Notamacropus eugenii: one gene and its partners. The protein of the gene in region 1 interacts with the protein of each later gene in a pairwise test. Links are inferred from orthologs where the notes say so. Each region holds a gene or a part of one and is shown in the gene's direction. Other genes may lie near its edges.

The links.
Region 2: the proteins of FHL3 (region 1) and PAK5 interact in a two-hybrid assay, tested with the Homo sapiens proteins (2 studies listed by BioGRID and IntAct). The two-hybrid records come from large-scale screens. The link is inferred for Notamacropus eugenii from reciprocal best matches to the Homo sapiens genes FHL3 and PAK5.
Region 3: the proteins of FHL3 (region 1) and PATL1 interact in binary tests that used the Homo sapiens proteins (3 or more experiments, as listed by UniProt). The two-hybrid records come from large-scale screens. The link is inferred for Notamacropus eugenii from reciprocal best matches to the Homo sapiens genes FHL3 and PATL1.
Region 4: the proteins of FHL3 (region 1) and KIRREL2 interact in binary tests that used the Homo sapiens proteins (3 or more experiments, as listed by UniProt). The two-hybrid records come from large-scale screens. The link is inferred for Notamacropus eugenii from reciprocal best matches to the Homo sapiens genes FHL3 and KIRREL2.

Annotation. Positions count from the first base shown.
Region 1 is NC_092876.1:81,223,928-81,231,319, forward strand, and holds the start of FHL3 (four and a half LIM domains protein 3), read left to right. Parts: upstream 1-4,371; 5' UTR 4,372-4,476; intron 4,477-5,196; exon of another isoform or gene 5,197-5,396; intron 5,397-7,392. UniProt on the Homo sapiens protein: Recruited by SOX15 to FOXK1 promoters where it acts as a transcriptional coactivator of FOXK1.
Region 2 is NC_092872.1:582,972,819-582,979,927, reverse strand, and holds the start of PAK5 (serine/threonine-protein kinase PAK 5), read left to right. Parts: upstream 1-4,092; 5' UTR 4,093-4,263; intron 4,264-7,109.
Region 3 is NC_092873.1:5,566,599-5,574,142, reverse strand, and holds the start of PATL1 (protein PAT1 homolog 1), read left to right. Parts: upstream 1-4,536; 5' UTR 4,537-4,672; coding exon 4,673-4,687; intron 4,688-5,268; exon of another isoform or gene 5,269-5,452; intron 5,453-7,544. UniProt on the Homo sapiens protein: RNA-binding protein involved in deadenylation-dependent decapping of mRNAs, leading to the degradation of mRNAs. Acts as a scaffold protein that connects deadenylation and decapping machinery.
Region 4 is NC_092876.1:33,020,474-33,027,657, forward strand, and holds the start of KIRREL2 (kin of IRRE-like protein 2), read left to right. Parts: upstream 1-4,172; 5' UTR 4,173-7,184. UniProt on the Homo sapiens protein: May regulate basal insulin secretion.

The DNA of each region.
Region 1 (7,392 bases):
TTAAAGGTATGTGAGTACTGAGCAACTGTAGACCAGAGAGAGTGCCTTTGGACACCTCGACACACAGACACACACACACAGACACACACACCAGGACCTAGCACAAGCTGCAGGCGGCCCCACACACACACACACCTCCAGCTGCAGGGAGCACCCCAAAGCAAAGATGACTAATTAAGCCTGTGAAGGAAGGAAGTTCTCTTGATAGGGGAGAAAGGAGGGGTTGGAGTAGAGAAATAGTACAGGGAAGAAAAGGAAGGCTGTTTTCATTGCATTAGCATTTTTTTATATTTAGTGGTTACACTACCACAGGGCAACCAAGTTCCTTCCTATTCAGCCATGCCAAGTCCAGCCTGGACAAAGGGAATGCATCTGCAGGGACCGACCCCTCCTAACCCCTACTGCACATTACTCCTCCTCCCTCTGCCCCCACTGCCCTTCACGTGCTCGCAAGCGTGGATCAGGGGCAGCTGCCTGATTGCCAGCTTCTCCAGTGCACCTGTTCCATGGAGCCTCTAGGGTGGGGTGAAGGAGAGAACAGAAAGTCCAAGTGGCCTAAACCCCACAGGGTCCCCTGGTGGCATACCCCCCAGGCCAAAAAAGCCAGGGACAGGTCACGTGGGGACCTTGGGTTGTGGAGGGAGGCAAAAAGACACAGCCAATTTGGCAGCCTACTCCAGGGAGTAACAGCTAATTGCTTTTACTACCAGCCCTACTGTTTACTACTTCTGTGACCTTGGCCAAATCCTACCTCCAGCCCACTTTTTCTCACCTGGAAGTCTCTCCCACCTCCTCTCAGCCTCCTGGATTCTCTGGCTTCCTTCAAGTTCCAGCTAAAATTCCTCCTCCCTTCCCCCCCCCCCCAGCAAGTCTTTCCTAGTCCCCCTTAATGCTGGCTCCCTCCCTCTGTTAATTAGACCCGATTTACCCTGTATATAATTTGTTTGTACGTTAGTGTTTGCATGTTGTCTCCCCCCCATTAAGCTGTGAGTTCCTTGAGGGCAGGGACTTTCTTTTACCTTCCTTCACATCTCTGGTGCTAAGCAAAGAGTAGGTGCTCAATAAACATTTATTGACTGATTGACTGCAAAATTAGGTGATTACACTAGGGCCCTAAGGTCCATTTAAATTCTAAATCAGGGAAACCTGCAGCCTTGAGGCCACCGGTGGCCCTCTAGGTACTCAAGTGTGATCCCTTGACTGAATCCAAAGCAGTCAAAGGATCACACTTGAGGACCCAGAAGCCTCAAGGCTGCAGGTTCCCCATCCCTGTTCTAAATCCCACTGTCCTAAGACATACCTGGCCTTAAGACTCAAAGTTCCCTGGCTGAAAAGTCCCTCTGCTAGCTGAAAGTGATCTCTGCTGCCTCCAAATTCTCTTGTTACATTGTTACCTCTCTTGTGCTCTTATGTGCTATTTTGAATTGTGGTGGTTTGAGTACAGGTCTCATTTCCCTACCCATTGTAAGCTTCTTGAGGACAGGGACCATTTTTTTTTTTTAATCTTGGTGGCTCCCCCAGTGCAGAGCACAGAATTTTTGAGGTAATACTTGTGTAATGCTGGTACAGTGGAACTAGTGTTGTATTTGGAGTCAAAGGGCCCAGGTGCAAATTCCATTATCGTTATTACCTATGTACCCTTAAGCAAGTCGCTTGGCCTCAGTTTCCCCATCTGTTAAGGCAATTAAATGAGATGGCCTCTAGGGTCCCTTCCAGCAGGAATACCTTGGAAGGAAGACCTTCCAAGCTGGAAGACCTGGGTTCTAGCCCTGGCTCTGCCTCTTGTTCCAAAAGAAGCCTAGGTTTCCCTATCTGTGAAATGAGTGATCCTTCTACATGGTCTTTGAGCTGCCTTCGAGTTCTGACCTATATTTTAAGGTTCCTTACCACTCTAACATTCTGTGGTCTGAGGCCCGGGTCTGATGTTCTCTGAATTTCTTCCATTTCTTCCTGCCATTCCATTCCCTAAGCTCCCAGCGCTGCAACAACTGAACCCCTTAACAAAAGATGGAGAAAGGCAAAGATCTCAACTTCCTTCATTCAGCCATGAACTTTTAGTTTCTTCTCCATTACCTTCTTCCCTAAAAGGACCAGGATCCTAGAATCCATTCCAGTCTTCAGTGCTCCCCTTCTGCCCAGGGATCCCTTCCCTCCCCAGGGCAGAATCCCCTCCCTCTAAGTGATCGGACTCTCCCCAGTAGACCAGACCACAAGATAGTGGCCAAAAGCTCAGACCTCCAGCATTCCAGTATTGATGCCTCCTCATGGATCATTCCAGTTGAAAGGAAACTTAGACCATCTAGGCCAACCCCTCATTTTGCAGATGAAGAAATTGGGGCACAGACACTGGAAAGGATCTGCCCTACGACCACATGAAAAGACTCACAGGCCATGCTTTCCTTCACCACAGGGCTCAGAATAAATTTAGCACTGATCAGAATCCCTTGGGTCTTAAGAAAAGAAGCAGAATTAGAGGCCGAGAGCCTCAGAATGGAAAGAAACCTAATGGGGTGGGGGCTGGAGAGGCTCTCCTAGGATTTGAATTTCTGTTCTTAATTGTCCCTGGAGCCAGTTTATCTGGAAGGTTATTTCTAGGATCAGTTTGTTGTCTCTATTTTGCAAACAGCCCCAGCAGTGCCTCCTCACTTCCCCCGCTTTCCCTCCCCCAGTCACTCAGGGGCTATTTATTTCTGGTGACAAGCCCCATCGTCCCTTGGTGGGGGTGTATCAAAGCATTGGAGGGGACAGGGTGTCACTGGCAACAGGCAGGCAGTCACCCAGCCTCCTATGGCACAGGAGAAGGTTGGAGCAAAAAAAAGCCCTAACACCCCCACCCCCAGCCACTGGCCTTTCTCTCTTCTCTAAAAGTACTGGGCTCAAGGGATCAAGGATCATCAGGCTCTCCCCAGGGCCTCAAAGGTCATGGTTATTTCTGAACACTGGGGAAACAGAGGCAGTAGAGTCAGGATATTTTTGGTGTCAGAGATGGGGCCTGAGGGTAGGTTGGAGAAAGAAGGCGTCTCCCTCCCTTCTACTACCCCTCCCTCCTCACTTACACACAAGTACTCCAGCACTCATAACTTTTAAATAAAGAACTCTGGAAGGTCACAGATCCATCGGCAGGAGTTCTCCTTCCTGCTGTCACCACTATGAATAGGAGGAGTATGTCCTCCATCTCTCAAGTCAGCTAAGGAGAAAGTTACCCATGTAACTTTGGGGGAGTCCATTTGTTCTCTCAACCTGCTTTTTTCTGTTAAACAGGAAAGTTATGACATACTTGGGTACAATGGAAAAACCACTAACTGCAGTCAGAGGCCTGGGTTCAAATTCCCCCAAAGATGACCTTAGAAGAGTCTCTAGGCCTCAGATTCCCCACATGTACAATAAGGAGGTCACAATAGATAGCCTCAGAGGTCTCTTCCACTTCTAGGTCTATGATACCATGACTAACTGCTCTCTAAATGCCCTTCCAGCCTTAAATCTAACAGTCCTAGGACCTGAGAGACCATGCCCCTACCTTTGCCTGGGCTACAGCTAAGCTAACCCCAACTGAGCTCCTTATCCCAAGCTGTGGGATCCAATTTGTGCTCCGTAGTCATAGTGGGCTAGGGATCTAGGAACAAAAGACACTTCCACCCCACCCATAGGTAGGAACTCCTTGAGGCCATACTCAGATTCTTGGAGTAGGGGCTAGAAAGATTCCACCAAATAAAAGGGGAGAGATCAGTGGATAGTGAGTGAGTCAGAGGAACTTGTATAGTGGGAAATGGGCAAGACTTAGAATCCTATTTCCTGGCTTCAAATTCTGGTTCTGCCACTTTCATTGTCACTTGTGTGACCCTGGGCAAATCCCTCTGGGCCTCAGTTTCTTGATGTGTCAAATGAAGGGTTTGGACAAGATGCCCTACCAGCTTGAAATCCCTGAGCTGATAGTTTAAATCCTAGCCTTGCTATATACCATCTATGTGATTTAGGCAAGTCACTTACACCCTGTGGGCCTCAGTTTCTCAAAATGCAAAATGAAGGGATTGGGCTAGATTAACAAAATTCTATATTCATTCTGAAGTTCGAGACCCCACCTGATAATACGCCCTAATCCTCAGCCAGGGAGGCCAGAGCCACGGGCTCAGAAGAGCCCCGGGAAGGCTTTCAATTCAAAATGCCTACTACGTGCAAAGCCCTAGGCTGAGGACCAGCACAGATAGGCCAAGCTTGGGGAAGGGGACTCGCGGAGAGGCTCTGGTCGAGGGGGCGGGCCCCAGGTTGTGGCGGGGAGACTAACCAGGAGGGGGGGTGGGTCCGAGAGGCACTGGGCCGAGTTGGGGGGAGGGGGGCCGGGGGCGGGGTCCGGGCTGGGCTGGGCGGGCTCCCGCCCTCACTTCCTCCGGGAGGGGTTAGGGACGTAGTGCTCAGAGTCGCCCACACAGTCTCTGGACAGGAGTCGTCCGAGCCGCGCGTCCAGCCCCGGCCCCCCAGGTAAGAGCCACCGCCCCGAGCACGGCGGCGGACAGAAAGACTCGGCCAACCAGGATCCTGCCCCCGCACCCCGCCCTCGGCCCCCTCAGCGGCTGCGCCCCCTCCTCCACCCCATCAAGCCTGCTGGCTGGACTCTACCCTTGAATGTGCCCCCAGCCCCACGTCCCAGGTCTGTCAGTCCCCTCCTGCTGGGGCAGGAAGGTGTGGCGGGAGTCGGGGGCGCGGGGAGCAGAGAGGAGTTCCCGGCTGGCACACAAAGAGTTAACGGCAGCTGTTTCTCCGCCTGTCCCTGGCTGGCTTGCCTGCCTGCTTGTTCAGGGTCCCAGCTTCCGAGCGCCCCCAGAGCCCGGGAGACCGTGCTGAGCTGTGCTGCATAGTCGAGGCCGGGGATGGGAATGAGCTTCCCGCTGCCGAAACCCCACTGACATCTCCCTCTTCCCCGCCCTTCCCCAAAGGCCGCTGTCCGTGCCCTCCCGCGGGGAACCGGCCGGCTAGTTTCTGGTCCTGGCCAGGTTCTCCCTTAGGGGATGAGGGAGGGAGGCCGGGCGGAGACTCCCGCTGTCCCACTGGGTGTGGGACTGTTGTTGGGAGCCAAGTTGGAGAAGAAAAAGACAGAAATTCGGAGACACTGAGAGACTGAGACACGATTGAGAGACAAAGATGGAGGAGGCATCAGGGAAAGAGAAACAGACACACAGAGGCTCAGAGTGAGACACTTACCTGGCGAGCTCCAAACTTTTATCTTCCAATTCAGATCTCTGTTCCAGTGCCTCAGCCCCAGGGGACAAAGACTGAATGAACTGGCTGTCCCTGGGCCCATGGGAGTTTCATCTCTCCATCCCTTTGTACCCAACCTTTTCCTTTCGCAAGCAGCTTTGTCCTTCTAAGCCCCCATGGTGGGGAGGGGGGGAAAGAAAGAGAATTTAGCTCTGGTGCCAAGCAGCTAGTAGTGGTAAGGGGGAGGGAAGGAAGGAGGTAGGGAGAGAGAGACAAACAGACAGAGAGAGAGAGAAAGTGTGTTAAATTTCTCCCCCTGAGTATTCTGTCAACAAACCCACCAACTCTTGGAATCTGTGGAAGGGGAGGAAAGGGGGAGGGGGCAGAGAGGGAAGGTTGTAGTCCTAGTCACAGCTGAGGGGTGGGGTGCAGGGCAGATTCTGTGCTAGCCTGTGGGGAAATAAATGTCCTCACATATGTATGCCCTTCCAAACTGTGGAGCAGTTAGTGGGAATAATGGGAAACTTTATTTACATGAACATTTAGGGAACTGGGAGTATCTGGCCCTCAGTGATAGAGGAAGAAAAGGGAACCTAGACCCCAACCCTGTTAATGTTCTCTGCCTTTTGGCCAGCTTGGCTGAAACATTTCCAGATCTCTCCTCTCCCCTGAGAATTCAGTATTGGCAGTCTCTTGGAGCCAATGATTCCTGTAGGGCTCAGAGACATGATACCAGGTGTGTCAGAAAGGAAGGAGGGAGGGAGAAAGATGTCTGGGTAACCCTGCAGTCTGGGGTTCTATAGTGTCTTTTCCACTGGAGCTAAGGAGGCTGAACCTGAGGGAATACCTGGGCTTCCTCTTAATTCTCATGCTGGATAGACTGATCAGGGAGCCCTTTCTACATTTTTGTTCCTAGACAGGAGCTCCATTCTTGGCTATAGAATATAACAATTCAGTTCAATTCAATTCACCAAATATTTATTACCAAATGACTACTGTGCTAGATTCCAAGAATACAAGAACGACAATTACTACGGCCACTGTCCCTACCTGGCTGGAATTTACAATCTGCTATGGGGGATCTGACTCAATGGAAACAAAATTAAGCCTCCTACTAGAGAGAATGTGATAGGAACAAGGGAGAGTTAGACTAAGTGCTCTGAGAAATTTAAGAAGGGAGAACCACACGGAAGGCACTCCCTCTTAGGGGGAAGCGTCCCGGACTTCAACTAATGCCTAGGAAGGGATGGAGATTCTCTGATCTTTGTTACCCACTTGGGCCACCAGCACCACTGCACTGGGGAAACTCAAAGCCTGCCCACTCCTGGGCATAAAAAAATCAATATCTTAAGATCCTGCCCCTGGCCATTCAGACAGGATTCCAGGAGTTAAGGGACTAAATGGCTCTGTGTAGATCTCAGAGCGTTGAGATTCTCCTTTCGATTGTAGCTGTTGTACCTTGGGGGAAGAGGGAATCCAGTACACAGGACTCTGCATTCTGGTGACTTCTTGCCCCCCCCCCCCAACCTTTTTCTGACTAGTACCTAAATTTGAGGGGCAGGAAGCTCCTGGAAAGGAAATGGAGGGTATAAATTGGGGCAGGGGAGGGGGGGATTGAAGAGAGTGGCCTGAAGGGATTCTAAATCTCATCCACAAAACTCAGTTACTCTAGCTGCACCAGGAAGACCAGATGGGCTTTGTAGTGTGTGCTAGATGGATTGTTGGTCCAGAAGTCCGGTAGACCTGGGTTCAAGTCCTGTCATTGGCAGCTATGGATAATAACGTCTCTTGTTGCTGCCTCATGGGGATAGTGAGAACTTAATAAAATAATCTAGGCTAAGTGCTTTATGAATGCCAGCTAAGTCTTATTATTCTCTGACTTCCCCCTTCCACGACTTAGGAGGGGAAACCCCTTGTTTCAGGAGCTGGAGGCCAGGCCAGGGAGGAAGGAAAGGGTCTTGAACACTCCCAGACGGATGTCCTGCCACACTCCCCACCTGCACTGACCACTCTCACATATAGTATTGAATGGCCAAGGGGAGCTTCAGATGCTGGGCCAAAGGAAACATGAGCTGGGGGGGAGGGAGGAGGGAAATGGGGGGAATAGAGATGCCCAGGACAGAGGGGAGGAACATTCTGGAGAACAGGAACCTGTTTCCCCCAGAGCTCTCTCAGCTTTGCACATATCCTTTCCCAGAG
Region 2 (7,109 bases), on another chromosome or scaffold:
ATAGAAAAGGGGCAGCTTGATGGCACAAAAGATAGTTCTGGGCCTGGAATCAGGAAGCCCTGAGTTCAAATCCTGCCTTAAGACATTTACTAGCTGTGTGACCCTGGCAAATCACTTAAACTTGTTTGCCTCAGTTTGATCATCTGTAAAATGAGAAAGAAATAGCAAACCACTCTAGTATCTTTGCCAAGAAAACCTCAAATTGGATCAAAAAAAGTCAGACATGACTCAAAAACAGCAAAACAATGGGAGATGAAGTATCTTGTGGGAGGAAAGGCAAACAGGCTAGTGTCACTGATTCACAAAGTACCTAGAGGGGATTAAGTATAAGGAGACTGGAGAGATAGCAAGGCAGCAGGTTGTGAAGGGTTTTGAATGACAGAGGATTTTTTAGTTGACCCTAGAGATGGTAGGGAGCCACTGGAGTTTATTGAATGGGAGTGGGAGGTGACATGGCTAGCTCAACTTTATGAAAATCACTTTGCCAGCTGAGTAGAGGATGAACTGAAATGAGATAGTTGAGGCAGGAAGACCAATCAGTAAGTTATTGCTATAGTCCAGGTGTGAGGTGAGGACCTTCACCAGAATGGTGACAGTATCAGATGAAAGAAGAGGGCACATATGGGAAAAAAAAATGCTCTAAATCATTAACACCTAGAGAGAGGCAAATTAAAGCAACTTTGAGGTGCTACCTCCAACCACCAGATTGGCATAGCTGAAAAGGAAAAAATAACAAATGTTGGAGGGGCTACAGAAGACTACGCACCCTAATGCTTTATTAGTGGGGTTGTCTTGGTTTAGTCTATATTTGGTACTAATTTAATTAAGTTCTATTTTAATATAATTGGTTTTATTTGTAATCTTTTGTATTTTAAGTACTTCAAAACATTATTTTGAGACAGGGTCCTTAGGCTTCATTCAACTGACAAAGGGGCCATGGCACAAAAAAAGGTTAAGAACCCCTGGCCTAGGAAGGAAACAAATGTTTATTAAGTACCTATTATGTGCCATTAATTTTGCAAATATTATCTCATTTGATCCTTACCACCACCTTGAAAGGTAGGTGCTATTATTATCCTCATTTTACAGTTGAGGAAACTGAGGCAGACAGAAGTCAAGTGACCTGCCCAGGTCAAAAGCTAGTAAGTTTCTGAGACTTATTTGAAAACTCAGGTCTTCCTGATTCCAGGTCCAGTATTTTATCTATTGCAGCACATAGCTGCCTAGATTAAATCAGTACCATATGATAGTATAGGAAGAGTATTTCCTCTATAAAATCTTCTTCTGATTCATGTTGGTGATATGGAAGCAATGATGAGTTCTAAAATATTATGCCAGCAGAGAACAGCTCTGTTTGGCAAGATGGAAATGCTAAGACTATGGGGACAGCAGCAGATTGGAGATCTGTTATTCAACAACTAGACTATCCCAGTTCAGAGAGGTTCTTCGGTAGAGAGTTGGCTCCTAGATGGCAATATTTTAGGGTACAGAGCAACTAATGAAAACTTCCAGAAAGTCATGGAAAGCTTGTGAGCATCATTGGTGAAGGGAGTTCTCAGATCAATAAGACCATAGAACTTTGAAGTATTAAAGGAATAGTATTTAATCTGCAGGAATGGGCAATTCTTTTTGTTACTTTCAAGAAAAAAGTACAAATTCTCAAGTTTTTATTATATTTCAAATTTTTTTAATGTATCAAAAAAAATTTCTCCTGTTTACTAAAAATTCAGCTTCAGGCCACTCCCAGGTGTCTGGGGTGGGGGCGGGGGGAGGAAGAGAGAGAGGAGGGAATGAAGGTAAAAAGGAGGAAATACTTAACTTTCAACTAAATGGGAAAAAAGGTAGTTTAGAAGTAGTAGTCTAACCTATACAATTACAAAATCAGAGATTCAAAACTGCAAGGCATCTTGGAGGCTATTGAATCCAACTCCCTCATCTGCAGATTAAGAAGCTGAGGCTGGGTGATTTGCCCATTGTCTGGGGCAGAATTTTGAACTCAGGTTTTCCTTACTCTAATTTCATCACTTTAGTCAATTTGATATAGTATCGAATTTAGTATTAGAAACATGGGTTGGAATCTTGACTCCACTTCTGACTAGTTTACTAACTTTGGGCAAATCTCTTGATCTCAGTATTTGTGCATCAGTTCCCTTGTTTGTAAAGATGATTTTTAAGATGTCTTGTGTTCTACAATCCTATAATGCTATGTGAGACTAGATAGCTTCCAGAAATACGTTCTCTGTTCTCTCATCTAAAATAAAAGGAATCATGACATTTCTCTGTTTTAAAGAGGAATATTTAAGAAGGGGGAGGGAGGAAAATAAATCTTTTCTTAGCAAGGATCTGTGCTGTTGTATGGCACTTACTGCTTTATGAGCTTTGAGTAAATGAAAAATCAGAGAGCAGGAGAAGGATAACTGCTTTGCCATTATCTATTTAGCTATGAGAAGATACAGAGCATAATGTGGGTACTGCATATGCAAATCTTTGTTTTGCAGACTGTTCAAGATATGTCCATTTACCAAATACTTGGAGAATAAAGAAGATGGGATTTGGGACTATAATTTTATCTGGGTTCAAATCCTCTCTCCGCTTGCTGGTTTGATCTTGGGCAACTTCTCTAGACTTCTGATGTTGTCTAAAAGACGATGGATGGGCTAGATATAGTTAAGATCTTTTTCCTACTAAACAAACTAAATGAAAAACCCTTCAGAGAACAGCTGCTTTTTCATTCCTTAAGAAGGAAAATGAATTCCATCTCCTAAGCCTCAAAGAGACGTGTATTATTTTTTTAAATCCGCAAGAAGGGCCTTCCAAGTGCAGCCGAATTACCCATAATGGGAAAACTCAGTATCTCTGATATTAAGTTCCATCTCTGTGCAATGTGGGTTGTGAAAATTCCTAGAAGAAATCAGTCTGGGGTGCTGAGAAGGCAGCCCTTGGGAAAGTGTACTTTTTTAATGGCAGGAAGAGAATATGAATATCCATCTTTCTCTTTGCCAGCTGGAACTTGGGTGTAATTCTGCTGAAAAGCCTGCTATCCTTGAATGCAATCGCTTTCTACTCTTAAACCCAGAACCTGTTAGTCTTCCTTACTGAGCATGCTCAGACACATTATTGGAGCACTGAATATTTGACTTTCGGATCCAGGTTTTAGCTACTGCAAGGAGAAGGCTGGCAAAGAGACTGTGGAATAGGTTGTAAGAGATAGCGACTACCACCGCCCTCCCCGCTCCAGCCGAAGGGCAAGGGGTGAGAAAGCATCTAGGGGGTGTGGTCACCCAGATCAGTGGAAAGAGGCTTCGGAATTTATCCCTTACCAACTATTGATCTAGCTTTCCTCAGATTGCAAAGGAAGGTGCCCACTGGAATCCGGGTCAGGTTTTATTGGTATGACAAGTCATTGATCCAAAAACATAAAGAAGTCCCTGGAGACATTCGTTTTAAGGAAGGTGCAGCTGTTCCCAAGGGAAACTTTAGGAATAGTTGCATATAGGCTCATATGGGATGGATGTAGTGTGGCACCCAGAGCTACAATTAACCACCACGAGGGTGGGTTTTATGGGAGGTGGGAAACCCCCAAGCCAGTTCTAATCACTAGGGGGTCCATGCTAGGAGCGGAGCGCAGGACTGACTTGTAATCGTCAACAATGTATCTATTTTCTTGGCAAGTGTGACAAGTCCGAATTCTCTCACGGTGCCCTCAGGCCGGCCTTTGCAAATTGCTGCCCTCCCTCCAGCCCTCCCAGCTCTCACTTGGGTCGCTAAGCTGTAGACGGTCGGAATGCCTAGGCTTGGGGGTGGCTGCCAGGATAAAGTCAGTTCAGGCAGCAGAGATGCCTTCTCCCGGGCCATTGCCACCGTCGTCCTCTCCGGTCCCAGCTCATTCCGGGCTCAGTCCGGTCCTCGTGGAGCCACCCCCAGCTCCCCACGCGGGGCCAGCCCCTCTGCCAGCTCCTGCCTGTCCTTTGGGCTGCAACTAAAACGCGGAGAAGTGGACTTGGCAGAGAGAAAACCCCTCCGTGGCTGCCAGCGCCGGAACTGGGCATGCTCAGTCGGAGAGTAGCTCGGGTCCCCTGTAGGAGGCTCTGGCTCCCCAGCCTCTCCGCTCCGCTCCGCTCCCCACCCCCGCCCCTCTCCCCAGCCCTGCCTGTAGTAGTTACACACCGCGCTCCCAGGGAGACTGGGAACATGGCGCTGGGAGCCGTGTGAGAGCGGGGAGGAGGGCATGCAGCCGCCGCTTTGCTGACAGCCAGCCACCAGGTAGGGGCACGCCGCGAGAAGGGGCGGGAGGCGGCGCTCCGGGAGAGGCGCCCGAGGGGCCCCGGAGCATCCTTCCGTGCCGGAGTCCGGGCACGGAAGGAGGCGAGCCCGGTGAGAAGCCAGCCCTCTGACAGGGCAGCCGTGCGCCGCCTGCCCCTGGACCGCCCGGCACGAGCGGGCTGACACAGGTAGCCCTCAGCTTCGCCCCAGCTTCGGCCGCTCTAGGAGAGGCGTAGCTCTGACCCCTGGGGGAGAGACGGGCATGGAAAAGCCCGGATAACTCGCGGAGCCGGAGCGGTGGCACCCCGCACAGCTGCGGAGCCCCCGAACGTGCCAGCTCTTTGTGTCCCCGGGAGCCTGTGTCCGGTGTAGCGGAGGCTTGGATAGATGCTTCTCCGGAATAGCGCCGGAGACGTGGCCAGACAGAATCCGCTGTGGGTTTTGTGTCTTCGCAGGTGTGGACTGAAGCGAATAAGGGATGTGGGGGGAGTGTTGGGGGGCTTTCCTTTGTTGTGGTGTTACGTGTGTGTGTGATTGCCAAGAGCGCCCGGAAACTTGTCATTTTGGGCACGTGTGTGGACCACAGTCCGGGGGATGCTTTCTCCTCTGAACTCTGCCCAGGATGATGTGGAGCCTTGGATTCCAGGTGGGCAAACTTCAGTCCGTCGGGGAAGAGCATCAGTGCTCCTCTGAGGCAGGCGGTGCATAGCCATGGGGCTACACGTGGGATAGCAATTCAGTCAGCCCCATAAAATTTCAGTGAAGTGGATGTAACTAAATGCGCTTGTGTATCATCTCAACGGATGGTTGCCCAAAGAGAAATGGTTCGTTTTCAGTAGGTGAAGAGACCTAGGTTTTTAGCCCAGTTTTGACACTAACTGGCTGCATGACCTTGGGGAAGTCACTTAACCACCCAAGGCCTGAATTTTCTCATTCACAAAATGAAGAGTTTATATTACATGATCTCCAGGACTTCTTGTAAAGAGTTCAAAAATCATGTGAATCTACAATTTCAACATCCATATAGTACAATAGTAGTTATGTCAACTTACGTTTGGCTAGATCTTATAACTTCTCAAAGCTCATTCTTATCTAGTCTTTCAATCTCCACAATCCTGTGAAATAGACTGGGCTGGTAAATCTAGACATTTTATTACTTAAAAAAATAAAAGAGTTGGTAGAACTTAATACTGTCATAAGTATTTGGCTTCCAAAGTGACTCTAAAATGAATATTGTTAAGTGTGAAGTATATAATAATATATATGTATGTGTGTCTATATACATATATATATGTTTTTTATCAAATAAAATATTAAAGTTTGAAGAAAATATGATTAGCTCAGTTAAGCCTTGTGTGTATTTGGTGTAGTAATATTTTGAGAAAGAGTGCCGAAGATAAATCTGAGAATGCTGCTGAAATAAGAGGTGGTGTCAATTTCATCAATAATATTAATAGTATAACAAAATATTTTATTTCCTAATGAGAAAGGGCATGAAATGATTGTATTTGCCACTTCTCCCTGTATAAGTTTTTGTTACTTAGATTTGCAGAATTTTAGAGCTGTAAGAGACATTAGGGATCATTTTACCCAAGCTCCTGATATTAGCATAATGGCTGTGGTTTTTAGTATGAAGTGAATATGAAAGTCTTTGAAGTTCCTTTTCTTGGTGTATTCCATATGGTGAGAAATCATGATTCTGCCACAGCTGGATTGATGTTATTCTGAGAAGAGAGTTTAATAATAGCGATAGCATTGGCTGACCCCCACAGAACACAAAGTCTGATGACTGTGATCATCGAGAAGAAATAATGAAACATATTTTTCTTAATATCTTATGCAGCCTTCTAGATGATTAGTTATATATATATATACATTACATATGTTTGAAATACTGCTATAATGTACTTATTCAGCAGTCTGTTTTCCAGCAGCCTTAACTAGTAGAACCTAGATAAGAACTAGATAAGACTAGCAGAAACCTAGATAAGAGCTTGTAAAGTGGACTCAAAATGTCATATTGGTTAAAAGAGGTTTGATAAAGTCTATGCAGGAAAGCTCTTGACTACTTATAAGAGAGCTGCTCAAGTCTCTTTATGCTATAGCTTTATAGTTTTAGATATAGTTCTGACAAGTTTAGTTATCTGTGTTTCCAAAAACTTGTTGCTAATTTTTGGATGGTGAGAAAATAAGTGGAAAAAAACATGCAAAGCAGACCTGAGAACTCAAAAAGCGTAATGATATGGGCCATTTGAGATAGGCATGAACAGGTAGTGGACCTCCATGTCTGTGTCTCCTTATTGATGTTTATAATGATGGACTTGAATCGCTAAGAAAAACTTTAATTGTTTTTGATGTATTTAAGAAAGCCAAACCTTTCAGAATCATCAAAGCAAAGTTCTTAAAAACATAGGGTAACTCACAGGAATCTTCCCCCCAAATAGATTTTATTTATTTATTCTGTTTTGCAAATCAGAAATAACTTAGAATATTTTCTGTAAGATCCCAGAGAAGGACCAGTGTAGGCAAAGGCATTGAAACAAGAAAATAGGAAGTGTTACACCACTGAAAAGTTGTTCAGTTTGGCAGGAATGTAAGGTGCATGGAGGGGAGTGATATGAGTTAAGGGCAAAAAGGCAAAGTACCAGATTGTAGAGCATAACAAATGCCAGGCAAAGGAGTCTGACCTTTAATTGGTAGGCAATAGAGGCACCAGTGATGAGTTGTGGACACAGATATAATGTGACCAGATTTATAAGTCAACAAGACTTTAGTCTAGCAGTAGTATGAATGATGGTTTAGAAGGAGGGGAGAGAATAGAGGTGTGACAACTTGTTTGTTGTTCA
Region 3 (7,544 bases), on another chromosome or scaffold:
GTATTTAATAGGAATGTATGTGTACAACCTATGTAAAATTGTATGCCTCCTAAAAGAGGGAGGGGGGAGGTAGGAGGAAGAGGGAGGGAAAAAGTATCTAAGTTATATGGTAGTGATTAAAGGACATCTCGTCTCACTGGTCCTTGAACAGGAAACACTTTTACAACATTGACATAACATAGCCATTCAGCCTCTGTCTATATATACTCAATAATGGGGAACTCACTACATTTATTCCATCCCCTACCTCCATGCTTTTGCATGACTGGTACCCCCTGCCTGAATTCCCCCTCACCTCTCCTCTGCCTCTTAGAAATCTTTGTTTACTTCAACAAGTCAACAAGCATTGATTAAGCACTTACTATGTACCAAGAATCCCAGAGGCTACTAAAAAAGGCAACAACAGTCCCAGCTCTCAAGGAGTTCTCATTTTAACAGGGGACATAACATGCAAACAACTATGTGCAAACTACGCACACATACACACACATACATATACATGCATATGATGAATTGATGAGGGGTGGGGAATCCGTACCTTCAAGGTCACATGTGGCCCTCTTGGTCCTCAAGTGTGGCCCTTTGACTGCATCCTGGGACATCTCCAGTCATCCTGATGAATATCTGGTCACTGGATTCAGATGGCTGTGGAGGAGAAGTGAGGCTGGTGACCTGCACAGCCCTCCCTCACTCCAAACAAAGTCAAGTGCAAGTCATGTCATTATTTCTCTGATGGCATGGTCTTCTTCAGCAATGAAGGACAAAGTGCCACCTCCTTCATGAAACCTTTCTTGATTCCTTCCCTCCCTGTAGCAGTACCTAGTATAAACAAGTATGTTTATCCTGTGGGAAAAAAAAATCTTGTATTTACTTTGTAGATAGTTTGTGTAGCTTATGTATTAGGTACATTGTTTCTCATGAGAAAATCTAAGGAACTGTTTCATTTTTTTGTAACCCTAGCACAGTACTTGGGTATAGTGTTTGCAACATTCTTGTTGAATGAAATTGAATGACAAGGGTAGAGGTTGAATGGAGGTTGGAGTTAGATGCCATAAGGGAGGTAGCAAACATCCAGAAAGGGAAGCAGTTATTACAAAGCGCCAGCATGACTTCATTAGGATGACTTCGATTATTTCCTTCTTTATTTTTTTGATAAGGCCACTTAACATCTGATACCAAGGGAAGGCTGTGGGTAAAGTTGTTAGATTTTAACAAAGCATTAGATAGAATGTGTCATGTTCTTCTTATGGAGAAGACTAAGAGACTTAGGCTAGACCATCCTAGAATTGCCTTCAGAACTGTTCAGGATTGTGAATTGGCTTTAGAATCATTTGAAGAGCAATTAGACTTGATCAGTTTGGGGCCCAGAGAACAGAATAAGGAGCAAGGGCCAGTGGTCAATTGAGGGAATGTCAGGAAAAATGTCCTAACAAGAACAGTTGGCCCCAAGTGAAATGAGTTACCTCCTTGGGACGTGTTTAGTTCCCTCTCATCAGATATTTTCACCAAAGGCTTTTCAGGAACAGTAGAGTGGACTTTTCAAGAAGCAAAATGGTTTAATGGATAGGGCATGAGACTTGGAACTGAGAGGACCTGAGTACAGGTCCTGCATCAGACATTTAGTGGCTCTGTGATCCTAGGAGGGTTGATTGATCTGTGTTTAGGTTTCCTCACCTGAAGGTGAGGTGGACACAGTGGCCTCTCAGATCTCTCCTAGCTTGAAATCTTTGATCCTATGATCCTTCCATGTTGGATTAGCTGGCTCCTGTGAAGCATCCAACTTAAATTCTATGATTCTATGTGTGAGGAGGTATGGGAGGGGAACGTTGCATATAGGCTGAATGGACACTTTAGAAATTATAGGCACAGAATTAAGTGCACAAAATGAAGCACGCAAACAGGTTTGTATGCATACACATATGTATGCATTTGTGTATTATATCTATATAAAATTATTATATATGTATGTATATATTATATGAGTGTTCATATATAGGAAAATTGATATAGAGATCTATGGTCTGCAGATCTATATAGAATTATATATTGTTCAATTGTGCCTGACTCTTTGTGACTTCATTTGGAGCTTTCTTGGCAAGGATACTGGAGTGGTTTTGATGAGGCAGAAGAGTACTAGAAGTAGATGGAGCAAGCAGGATGCAGGATATGAGATATGAAATAAAATGCAGGGTACGATCGACCAAAAAGTGATCAAAGAAAACTAGGCATTGAAGCCCCTCACCACGGATTTACCTGTGTGCTTTCACAAAGCACCCCCAATTCCAGAACAACTCTTCCCTTTCCCTCCTCTATTGTCTTTGCTTATCTGTATGATAAAGCACCTCAGGCCTATCTGATATCCCAGGCATTTTGGAGCATGGCTTGCTCCTCCCATTCCCTTGTCCTCTTTTCCTCTATTCCATAAAATTATACTTAAACCAGACACCGAATCCCAATAACCACTTTTGCCTCCTATGAAGAGCAGGGCCGCTCTGCTACCTTAGGTGAGTAGGACTTGCCACCTATGCTCTGCCTCCCCTGAGTTTGACAGTATCACCCCAATAAATGCATTTCTTTAACTTGGACACTGAGTGAACTCTTTCAAGGCAATAGGACCCACACAGCTACTCCTCATCATTTCAGGTGATTCTTGGGGTGCAACCTGAACTCATCAGTCCTCCATTTTCTTCTCCAGCTCATTTGATGGATGAGGAAACTGAGACAAACAGGGTTAAATGACCTGTCCACGGTCACACAGCTAGTAAGTGTCTGAGGCTGGGTTTGAACTTAGATCTTCCTGCCTGCAGGCCAGGCATTCTATCTACTGTGTTACCTAGTTGCCCCCAGATCTATATATTGTGTCCCAAAAGTCTTATCGAAGTTTAAACTATTAAAATACAGACTGGCGTTAAGATTCTTGGCACAGTCTGCAGAGCAAGGAGGTAACCTTCATGCCAAAAAAACCATAGGATTTAGAGATGGAAGGACCTTAGATATCTGGTACCACAACCCCCTCCTTTTACAAATAGACCCATTGACCAAGGTCAGCAAATGATACATATATACACACAAGTACATACGTATACATTGGAAGCACAGTACGGTGGGAGGAGGTCTGACTTGAGAGTCATGAGGGCTGGGTGCTAGTCCCAGCTGTGTCACTCACATTGCTGTGTGACTCTGAGCACATTACTGGCAAACTTTAAAAGCACTAGATAAATGCTAGCAATTGTTATTAGCGCCAGAAAAACAGTCATCTTACACCTTTTCTGATGCAGTTATCATGTAGCATTGAGAAATCTAGTGATCTATGCGCCTTACCTGCTCCTAAAGTGAAAACAGAAGAGAGGGAGGGAAGGTGGAAGAGAGGAAGGGAAGAAAGAAGGGAGAAAGGGAGGGTAGGAGAGAAGAGGGGAGGAGAGGGAGGCTGGGAAGGAAGGAAGGAAGGAAGGAAGGAAGGAAGGAAGGAAGGAAGGAAGGAAGGAAGGAAGGAAGGAGAAAAAAGAAAAGAAGGAAAAGAGGAAGGGAGGGAGCGCGGTTGGGAGGAAGCATTTATTAAACTGCCCCGGTGTGTCAGGCCCTGTGCTAAGTTCTGAGGACCCCAAAAAGGGCAAAGTGCTGCGGCGCCCCAGGAGCTTAATGAATGAGACGGGCACCGCCCCGCCCCTTCCCTGCCCGCGCGGTGGGCACTGTGGGCGCCGGGAGCAGCCGCCCCGGGAATCCTGGATCTCTGAAGTCCCGGACTAGTAGAAGCCAATGACCTCCCCCACCCCACCTCCACCCTCGCCGCGGTTCAAAGCGGGAAAGCCCGGGGCGAGGGGCGGGCAGGGTGTTGGACGGCGGGACCCCGCCTGCTCCATTTAGTGACTCTCCGGTAAATTTGGGGTCTTCAGCGCGCGGACGTTTCCTAGGACGGGCTAGAAAGTAAAGCAGTCGAGGGCGGGGGGAGTTGTCCTCGAGCCTCGGGGCAGTCCCCAGCCCAGAGCGCGGGCTCCGTCACACCTGCGGGCCTCAGGGTTTGTTGATGGATTGACACAACGTTCATGGAAGGGGCGGCGGGGCTAGGGAGAGGAGGAATGGGGTGTGGGGGTCTACGGGCCCGGACGCCGGCAGGCCGAGGCCGGCGAGGACTCTCAAGGTCAAGGGGGCAAGAATGCTGGCCTCCAAGTCGGCCCCTCGGGCCACTATCTGGTGATAATCACAAGGACTTCCCCCGCGGACAGATGCCTCGTGACCCGAGTGCCCGCCACGCCCCAGACGTGGAGCCAGCGCCAGTACCAGGGAACACAGCCCGAGGCCAGCCGGGGGTGGGGTCAGCCGCGCGCAGGGGCAGAACTGAGCTCTGGGACTTATTTGCCGCTGTCCTCAAATGACTAACGAGCGTCAGATAAGTCCCCGCGCAGCCGCACGAGCAGGGAAGGGCCCTTCCTCTCCCCTTGCCCTCGGATTCCCCGCGGTACGGTGCAGCGCGCCTGCGCACGCCCCTTCGCACGCTGGCACGCAAGAGGCGTACGGCGGCGGCTAGGGGTCGCGAGCCGCCGGAGGAGTGGCGGGCGCGCGCGGAGGAGCCCGGGGCGTCGGACGCGTCTCCCCCCCTCCCCACGCCTCCCTCCCCCATCCCCCTCCCGCTCCGCCTCCTCCCCCCCTTCTCCCTTCCCCCTCCCCCCCGACGATGTTTCGCTACGAGGTGAGCGCGGGCCACCGGAAGTGGCCCCCCGGGAAAAGGGGGGAGGGGGACAGAGGGAAGGGGGGACCCCCTCCCCGGGAGGAGTGAGTCGGGGGAGCGGGAGAAGCTGGGCCCGTTACTCCCGTTACACCTACCGAGCGACGCCCGGGCCGGGAGCCGCTGCCCACCGGAGACCGGGGGTCGGGGAGGCTGCCCTGGGGCCTAGGGGAGGGGTCTTCCTCTATAGACTTCGGGGGCTCCCCTTGGACCATGAGGGGCTCCCTCTGCAACTTTAAGGGAGTCCCACTGTAGCCTTGGGGAGCTCCCCCGGGGCCTCGGGGGCCCGTCTGTAACTTTGGGGGAGTCTCTGCATCTTGGGGACGCCCTCGGGGTCTTGGGGCTTCCTTTCCACTTGGCGGAGTTCTCTCCTGAGCCTGGGGTGGGGCCGAGATGAGGGCCTGCCGCTTCCCGGGCTCCCCACCTCTCGGAGGAGCCCCAGGGGGTCGGTGCTGGAGGTGCAGCAGGCCCGGGGGGAGGGGGATGACCGAGAACAGCGCCTGCCTCCGGGCCTCGACCTGGCTACCCAGAGGCCGAGGTCTGGGGCGGTCATAACCTTGACCCAGCTCACAAAGGCCGGAGCCGCCCTCTTGCTGGAAGGCACCGATGATGCCTCTAGGGGAAGCTTGTCTGCGAGCCTCTTAGGTGCAGGCTGCCTTTGGCTTGGAGCTTGGGGTGTGTTTCTATTGCCGCTGCTGCTGCTGCTGTCCTTAGAGAGAAAGGAGAAAGGTTTGCTTTTTGACTTTAATCCCTCCCTTAGGTTTCGGGCAGGAGCTACCTAGACCAAGCCTACCTTGCCCTGAAATTCGGAGCAGGGAGCTTTCTCCAGGACTTTTGTGGGATAAAGAAGGAACCTGAGATCCCCCAGGAGGTGGGGAGGTGGGGAGGTGGGGTGCGTGTTCATCTCCTTCAGTAAAGAGACAGCCCAGACTTGCTTTTTTTGACATTGTGGGAAGAGCCCTGGTCTTGAAGTTAGAAGGGGATTTGAATCTTGCTACTTAATTGCAACTTGGGCACAAGAGTGGAATCAAGCACTAGAAAGAGCTTTAAGGAACATCTACACATCTTATTTTACAAGGGAAGAAACTGAGGCCTGGAGAGGTTAGGTGACTTAGGTGCTAAGTGATGGCAGAGTTGGATTTGAATTCAGGTTTCCTTTCTCACCTTTCATACATTCAACAAGCTTTTATTAAATTCCTGCTATTGGGAAGAGCATTGACTCAGGAAACAGAGGACCCTATTTTGTGTGACATTGGGCAGGCCTTTTCTTTTCTTGGAGTGTTATTTTCCCCATCAGTGACATGAGGAGGTTGAAAAAGCCTTTGATGCCCCTTCCAGCTCTAGACTTGAGCCTATGTGCTGTTCTCTGGAGATACAAAAGTAAAAATTAAACATCCGCTGCCCTTGAGCTTAAGTGCAAATACACACATGTAGTAATTTCTGATAGTGGTGGGAAGGATCAGGAAATATATGAATGAGGTTAAACTTGAGATGAGCTTTGAAGGAGGGTGGAAATTCTGAGAGGTTCATGTGAGGAGGGAAGACTTTATTTACACAGAAAATAGACTTGGTAGGCCTCAGTTTCCTTCTATATCCAGTTGTAAAATTCTGTGATTCCTAACCTGGTGACTTTAAGCAAAGCGATCATAAGCTCATATATCTAGAGCAGGAAGGGACTTCAGATCATCTATTCTAAACTCCCTCATTTTACAGATGTGGAAACTGAGGCCCAAAGAAGTTAATTGACTTGCACAAAAAACCCATCAGTAGTAAAAAGGCAGAGTTGGAATTCAGGTCCCACGTCCTTAGACTCTAAGACTGTCATTCTTTCCACTGTACCACATTGCCTCCCTCATCTTTAAAATAGGGAAATATAGAGCCTCTTTCCCTTACATTCCTCAGCTTCTTGAACATCTCTGTGTTCTGTGATTCTAATGATAATTAGTAGTAATAGTAATAACACTTTGCATTTATATAATGCTTTAAGGTTTGCAAAGTACTTTACAAATATCTCATTTGATCCCCATGACAACCCTGGGAGGTAGGTGCTATTATAATTCCATTTTACACATGAGGAAACTCACAGGAAGAGATTAAATGATTTGTCTGGGATCACAGTGTTAGTAAGGGTGTGAGACAGATTTTGAAGTCAAGTCTTAACTGACTCCAAGTCCAGAACTCTGTCCACTGCACGAGCTAGCTTAGAGAACTGAGTCACAGGGCATAGTGCTAAACCTCTGGTTCATTCACCCCACTAGAATTAATAAGAAGTCTCCATGGAGCCTTGACATCAGGTTTCCCAAACGGCACTAACTTCTGATGGACTTTTGATGACTGTGGAAATAAAGGGTGGGAATAAGTTGGCTGTTGTCATTTTTTAAAAAAGCAGAATGAAATAATTAACAGAGAACAACAAAGTAGGGGAAAAAATTCATATGCCATGCAATTGTGTTTGTGCAAGGCCATGGACATGATTTATCAAGATGTGCTTTGTTAGAAAATGGAGTGAATTGTGAGTCTGAAGATTTGCTATAGAGGCATTTCTTTTTATTTCCCAAGTTAGGGGTGAGAGAATGTTGGGAAATATTTAAAAGAAAGGAGTGATAGATTGAGAAAGAGATGAGCATGGTGGGAAATCAGTTTATAGGGGAAAATACCTAAAACTCAGAGCCAGAAATGTAATATAATTAACTTTCAATTCCTTTTACTACTTCAAACAGATAAGGAAGTTAAGAATTAGTTTCAGTTCTGACATATTTGTAGCAGTTGAGATTTAAGAAGAAATCCCTTTACTAGATTTCTGATGAATCATGTGAAATGA
Region 4 (7,184 bases), about 48 Mb from region 1:
GAACAGAAGCCCCAATCTTCCTTCTCAGTGTTTCCCCTTGGTCTCTGGGGTGAGCGGGCTTCTCCAGAACATCATCCCACCAAGTTCAGGTCTGAACGTGGCTACTAAGTGAATGTCAGTGGCCACTGAGCCAAATCCCAGCAGAGGCTGCACTCAGGACCTGGTGACTCAATCTCTTGACCTTTTGAGACTCACAAGATCATAGTCTCCTATCTCCTTTACCTATCATGGAGGAAAAATGACTGTGGTGAATTTTAGGCCCAAGTCTGTAGAACAGTCTTGAACTTAACATTATTTTATATCCATACCTTTCCTAGATGAGAGAGATCCAAACTGGCATAGTTCCTCCTGTGCCTTCTGAGATGCATATCTCTAACCTGAGACGATCTGAGGTAACATTTTGAGGACTCTTGAACAAGGAAACAATCATAATATGTTAAACATAGCTTGGGGTTAGTGTTCCCAAAACAGCCACTGTCCGTTTCCTTCCTTGATCACTCCTTAAGGACTGAAAAGCTTTTATCAATAATTCTTGAATGAAAAAAAAGAAAAAAAAGATATCACCTGTAAATGGCTGATGGCACCAGTCCCTTCAGGGGATGGGCCGGCAGCGATCTTACCTAGATGAGAGTTCAGTTTGGTTATCACCTTATATCCCTTTCCTGGGACCTTTGTCTTTGTTCTGTCACCTTTGATCCATTTCCTGGGACCTTTAGAGGGAAAAGATTTTTAGGCTGAAAAAACATTATTTCTTAATATTTTCAGTTGAACTAAAAAGGAACTTTTTAATACTCTTCCACAGAACTCAGACTTGTATTCCCTGATTCTAGGTCCACATTGTCTGGGTAAAGCCCTTGACACATCCCCTAACTGCATGGTAACACTTTTCTCGCTGAAACTAGTGGGCTGGAAGGCAGAAAGAAATTGAAAAAAGAAATGAGTTCAGCTAATTGATTTTAAATACATCCCCAGTTCTGGCTAGAAAGTTGTGGCCATTTGGAGAGGCTCCTTTTACCATGAGGTTAGCAGACTAGAACTAGTTATAGAATGTCTGCACATGCTCCAAAGTCCATGTGGAAATTAGCTGAGCATGCTGCACATGCTCGTAAAGACTGGGCCCTTTGGTCAGTCTCCCATTACACTCCCCCTTCACTCTTAAGTTTCATCCTGGTTCAGGGTGAGAGTCTCTGGATATATCAGGAAAAACAGGCTGGTTCTCTTAGACATCACAAAACATTCCTAAAAAGTAGAGCTGTCCAAAGTAGAATGGCTTACCTGAAGAAGTGCTGGGTTCCCCTGCCTTAGAGGTCTTTAACCAGAGCTTGGGCAACCACTTGTCAGATACGTTATAACAGGTATTCTTTTCATGATGGACTAGAGGACCATCAAATTCCCTCCTGACTCTCACATTTGGAGATTTTGTAAGAGCTTAAATTATTTGCCTTGAGGGCTAAGCAAATCAAACCTCTCAGACCCCAGGACCCTAGGCCCCAAAAGCATTGGCATTGCTTCTAGCGCAGTGCCCACAGTGATCATCCTAGGAAGCAACCCTGTGGAACTGAAGCCTGGCGGCTGCTCCTACAACCATTGAAAACTGCAAAGAAAATTCTTGCTATCCAAGGCCTTGACGTTGCCAAATCAGAACCTGAACTTTATCAAAAATGACATGAAAGAAGAGATATTACCATCTTCCTTAATTACCAACTTGCTGTTGCACCCTAAGGACCATGGGATCTTTCCATCTGACTTGCAGCTGAAACTTTCCATGTATGTTGTGTCCCCCCATTAGAATGGGAGAAAATATTTGTATCCTCAGTGCCTTGGACATCATAACTGTTTAATAAATACTTTAAAAAAATTCTTTCTCATTGATTGATTCAGTGTCACAGATAAAATAATGATTGATCCAGAATTCGAACCCAGCTCTTCTGACTCCAAATGCAATATTCTTTCCACTGTACCTTCCACTATTACCTTCACTTGAAATAATGCTGGAAAAATAGGGCCGGAGGCAAACTTTGAAGAGCCTTAAATGCCAAGCTGGAGATTTTGTGTCTTATCCTACAGGCAATGGGAAGACACCTCAGCCCTGTGATCCCCTTAAATTATCATCCTATATATCTTCTCTTTTCACAGCCACTCTTAAAGAAAATTGCTTTTGTTAATTTCCTTTACGTCATATTCTACTTACTTCTTGACCCTTTGCAAACTGACTTTCAGTGGATAGTGTTGTGGGCTTCAGAGCCACAAAGATTTGAATTAAGATTTAGCTGTATGGTCCTGGGCAAGTCATTTAACCTCTACCCCAGTGTCCTCAACTGTAAAACAGCAACTACTTGCAAGGTTGTTATGAAGATCAAATGTAATAATTGTAAAGCACTTAGCAGTGGCTGGCAGGCTTGGGCAGCGAGGTGGCACAGTGAAGAGAGTGCCAGGCCTGGAATCAGGAAGACTGGCCTCAGATAAGTCACTTAATTCTGTTTGCCTCAGTTTCCTCATCTGTAAAATGAGCTGGAGAAGGAAATGGCAAGCCACTACAGTATCTTTGCCACAAAAACCCCAAATGGGGTCACAGAAAGCCGGCATGACTGAACAACCACAGAAAATGCTCCCTCCCCCCCACTCAACTGAAACTTTTAAAAGTTCCCCATATTCTCCTAATTGTTAAATGCAATGGCTTTTTCTTATTCCTCATCCTTTTGGGCCCCTTAACAGCTTTTCTCACTGCTAACTAATCCTTCTTAGATATACTCTCTCCCAGAATTTTTTGAACACTGATCTTTCTTAATTCTCCCTATTTGGCTTCTCCTTTTTATCCCCCTTTCTGTATCATCATTCATGCCCTGTCCCCTGTAGAAGGATGTACCTACCCCAGAGCTTTTTCCTGAATCCCCTTGGCTTCCCACTCCACAAATTCTTCCATGGGGATCTCATCAGCTCTCATGGGTTTAGTAATCTCTCTGCATAATCTGCATATTCAGACCTGACTTTTCTCCTGTGTTCCAATCCCCCATAACTAACTACCTGCTTGATATCTCCATCTAGATGTCCCATAGACCTCTCAATCTCAATATATCCAAAACAGAATTCTTCATCTTTCCCCCCCTAAATTTGCTCCTTTTCCTCTATGCTTTGTTTCTCTGGAGGGAACCACTATCTTTCCAGTCATAAACTTTTAGGATGATAATCCTCACCTCTTCCCTCCCCCTCAATTCTCATATCCAGTTTCCAAGTCCTATGTATTCTACCTCCACAACATATCTCTCATCAGTCCTCTTCTCAACTCACAGTGCCACCACCCTAATTCAGATCCTCATCACCTCTAATCTGAACCATCACAATAGCATCCTAATTAGTCTCGCTGCCACCATCACCTCTCCAAACTTCCACACAGCTGTCAAATTTTCTAATTGATTTTTTTTCAGAATTTAAAGGCAGAGCATTTACATATATGCAAGCAGAATACAAAAAGAAGATTGCATATGAAAATATTAATTTACATAAAGGAAGCAAAATATCTTTTTTTAAAGGCTAAACATAGCTGACTATTATCATTTAATAATCACTTGCTTTTAAAAAAGTATGTAATAAATTCAACGTTACTTTTCAAAATTATCCTGCTTGTCTGTACTTGCTAATGAACTTCCTCCCATTATCTTTTGTGTATTAAAAATATTTCAGCAACACTCTTTTTTAGCATCATCATTGTTAATCCTCCTGCCCCACCCCATTCCACCATTTAAAAAGATGGGGAAGGAGAACCTTATACAACAAATAAACATAGTCAAGTAAAACATGTCCACGCAGTGATCATGTCCAAAAATATGTCTCTTTTTGAACCTTAAATTGATTATCTCTGTCAAGAGATGGTTAACATCCTCTGAATAAATGGTTTTCAGAGAGTCCAAAGATTCCCAGATTATCTTTCCGTAAGCGATTTTCTAGGCAAGTTGTTATTGATAAATTCATTTTCTAATTTTTTTCCAATCTTTTAATTTTGTTCTAATATTTCTTGCTGTCTTATGGAGTCATTGATATCCATTTAGTCTTTTCTGATTTTCAGAAGAGTCCATTACTTGGACTTTTCTTTTTTAATTCCTTCTATTCTTTTCTATCCTTCTAATTCATTCCTCTAGATCTTTTATTTTGCTTTTTAAAATATTTTGATTCATTTCTTCCAGGCATTTGTGTAGCCAGTGAAAGTGACAAAATAGAATAAGTGACTTTTTCTACTTGATGATCTATACTGGTGCTGACTTTTCAAATGCCCTAGACTTCTGGTGTTTTACACATTTCTGAGATAGAAAAAAGTCACTTATTCTATTGTGTCATTTTTACTGGCTGTCTCCTACACCTGGAATTCTCTCCCTCCTCACCTCTGCTTCCCAGCTTTCCTGGCTTCTTTCAAGTCTCAGCTAAAATCCCACCTTTTTTTGGCAAGAAACCTTTCCCAGTCCTCCTTAATTTTAGTGCCTTTTGTCCACGGTCAACAAAGGTTATCTCCATTTTATTCTGTTTATACCTTATTGGTACATAGTGCTTTCAGGTTATTTCGTGCATTGGGTTGTGAGATCCTCCAAAGCAGGAACTTTTTTTTTTTTTGCCTTTCTTTCTATCTCTACATTTAAGCGCCATATCTGGCACATAATGGGTCCTTGTCAGAGCACATGTGATGGGGGGGAGCCTTTGATCTCTACGATAATGAGTCATCTTTAGGTTCAGGCTAGGCTCTTCTTTCCTCTTGTATCCATTCCCTTCTCTTCCTATAAACACCTGCCTCACACTTCTTGCCTGGACTACTTGTGAGAGCCTCCCAATCCGTTAGAACTCCTGCTCCCTTCCTTCCCTAGATAGTTGGCCTCCTCCACACAAAGCACAAGTGGGGCCTCATCACTGCCCTGCTTGAGAACCTCCTGGGAGTCTTCATTGTTTTCACTTCTTCACAACCTGGTGCTCCCCTTGCCATGATTTTTGTTATAGCCAAACAAGCTATAACTCAGAATTCCATCTCTCACCTCCATGTTTTTGCTTCTGCTGTCCTCCATGCCTAGAATGCACTTCCTCCTTCCTTCTAATTTGTCTCTTGGAATGCTGAGCTTCCTTCAAGGCCCAGCTCCTGGGTGGTTTCCACCTCCTTTGGAGAGCCTGTTGTTCTGTTTCCCTCTTCATATTGTCGTGTGCTGTATATACTTTTCTCTTCACATGTTCTCTCCTCCCCCAGAGGATGTAAGCTCCTTGAAGTCAGGACTTCTTTTTGGTTTTGTCTTTGTATCCCTGTCACCTCAGCATTTACCACCCTTCTCATTTCTCCCCTTTATGTGTTGTGCACTCTTGAGGACACAGACTGTCTTGCTTGTATCTGTATCTCTCACAGATCCTAGAACCCAGTAATCACTTCATAAATGCTTTTTCATTGATTTATTCATGGGACGCTGGAGCCTCCTAGGGATATTATTATGGGATCCTTGATTTCCCAGTGGGCTTACAAGTATATCACTCTGGATGTTTGGGACTCTGCTGTCCCCACAGTGGACACTATTATTATAGAGTGTTTGTATTCAGTTGGCATTCGTGCTATTTTGAGGTGTCAGTGTCTCATGGGAGTGATTGTGGCATTTCTGGGTTCCTGCTGGACTTACAGCAGTATTATGATGGGGTGCCCTCTTGGGTTCCCTATGAGGTTTCCAGAGAGTTCACAGATGACTTAACTGTGGAATTGCTGAGTCCCCACTGAGCACCCAGGGCTGCTGTTGCACACCCCCTGCTATATGTATTCGTTCTTATGGTATCTATAGGATTCTTTTGGTCTCACATGGTTGTCACATTGTAGGTAAGGCCACCAGCTGTGTTTTTGTGGGATCTTCCCGGCCCCAGTAGGGGCTCAGGATCCTATCTGTGTTGTACCTCTGAGCTCCAGCTAGGTTATGGAAGTGGTGGTGTGGGTTATGTGGTTCCCATACTACCTAGGGTAGGTTTCCTTAGGCCTCATAGGTATATTGGTTTGTGTTCCTGCCAGCATTACAAGGTGTTATTATGGGATCTCTAAGCCTATGGTGGGCTCAGGGAGTAAAACTGGGTGATCTGTAGGTCCCTTCCTGAGCACTAGGGAGTTTTTTCATGGTTTCTCAACTAAATGAATAAATGTTGATTCTTGTCAGTCACTCTGTTTCTTGCCTTACCACATCCTATAATTCCTGGACCATATGCTGATGTCCCTTGTAAGGGATAAGCCTCTTCTGCTCTCATTTTAGCTCCCAGAGATTTACTCATACAATCACATCACTCCACACACCCTCATCTCAGATTCCTTCCTTCTGACAATTTCCTCCCACCAAGTTTTTAGCACCCCCTGTTAAGTGAAGACTTTTTTAAAGGGAGCCCCAATTTCCAGCTCTCAAAACCCTCTCGTGTCACTTGCCCTCTGTTCATCTACTCCTTTAGATTTCTATTTCTTTCCTTCCTTGCCCCAGCCTCTTTTTTCAAATTTTCTGATCGTTTCAGAATTTTTGTCTCCTTACAGCATCTCTCCAGTCTTTCCCGGAGTCCTCATTCCCTTCCCCTTGCTATGTCTTGTAGTCACCCCAAGTCTCGCTCCCGCAAGGAAGCTAACTCTGGAGAATCCAGGGGATCTTGGGGAATGGTATATGAGCTGATCATGGACAAGAATCCAAGAGCTCAAGGATGGAAACTGGAAGGCCATCCCCATAGGGTCCCTGGGTGGTAGAAGGGTGCCTAAAAAGGTACGACCTGTTTCTGGAATGGGGACTGAGGGTAGGCTTTGTGGTACCTCAGATCAGCATGCTTCAGTCTAGGGTGGATATATATTTACACCAAGGACTTTATAAGCAGAGAAAAGGTCTGGGCCACTTGCCTTTGACCAGGAATCTCATCATCTTTAATTAGCATCAGATCTCACCATCACCCTTCACTTCTCCTCCCCCAGCACTTTTATTTTCCTTCCCTTTGCCCAGCAATGGTTTATTTCCTGACTTGGCTCCCTAGGGCCTCCTCCCAGACACTCCCTCTTTCCATCTCCATCTTGGTGGGTAGGGAGCAAAAGCACTGGGGGAAATAGTTCACAAGTTTCCTTACTGCAGCCTCTGCGCTGCCCTCCTTTCCCCTGCCCCTGATAGCTCAGGCATTCAGCCAGATGTCTAGCGTCTGCTGATCCCCGAATACTCAGG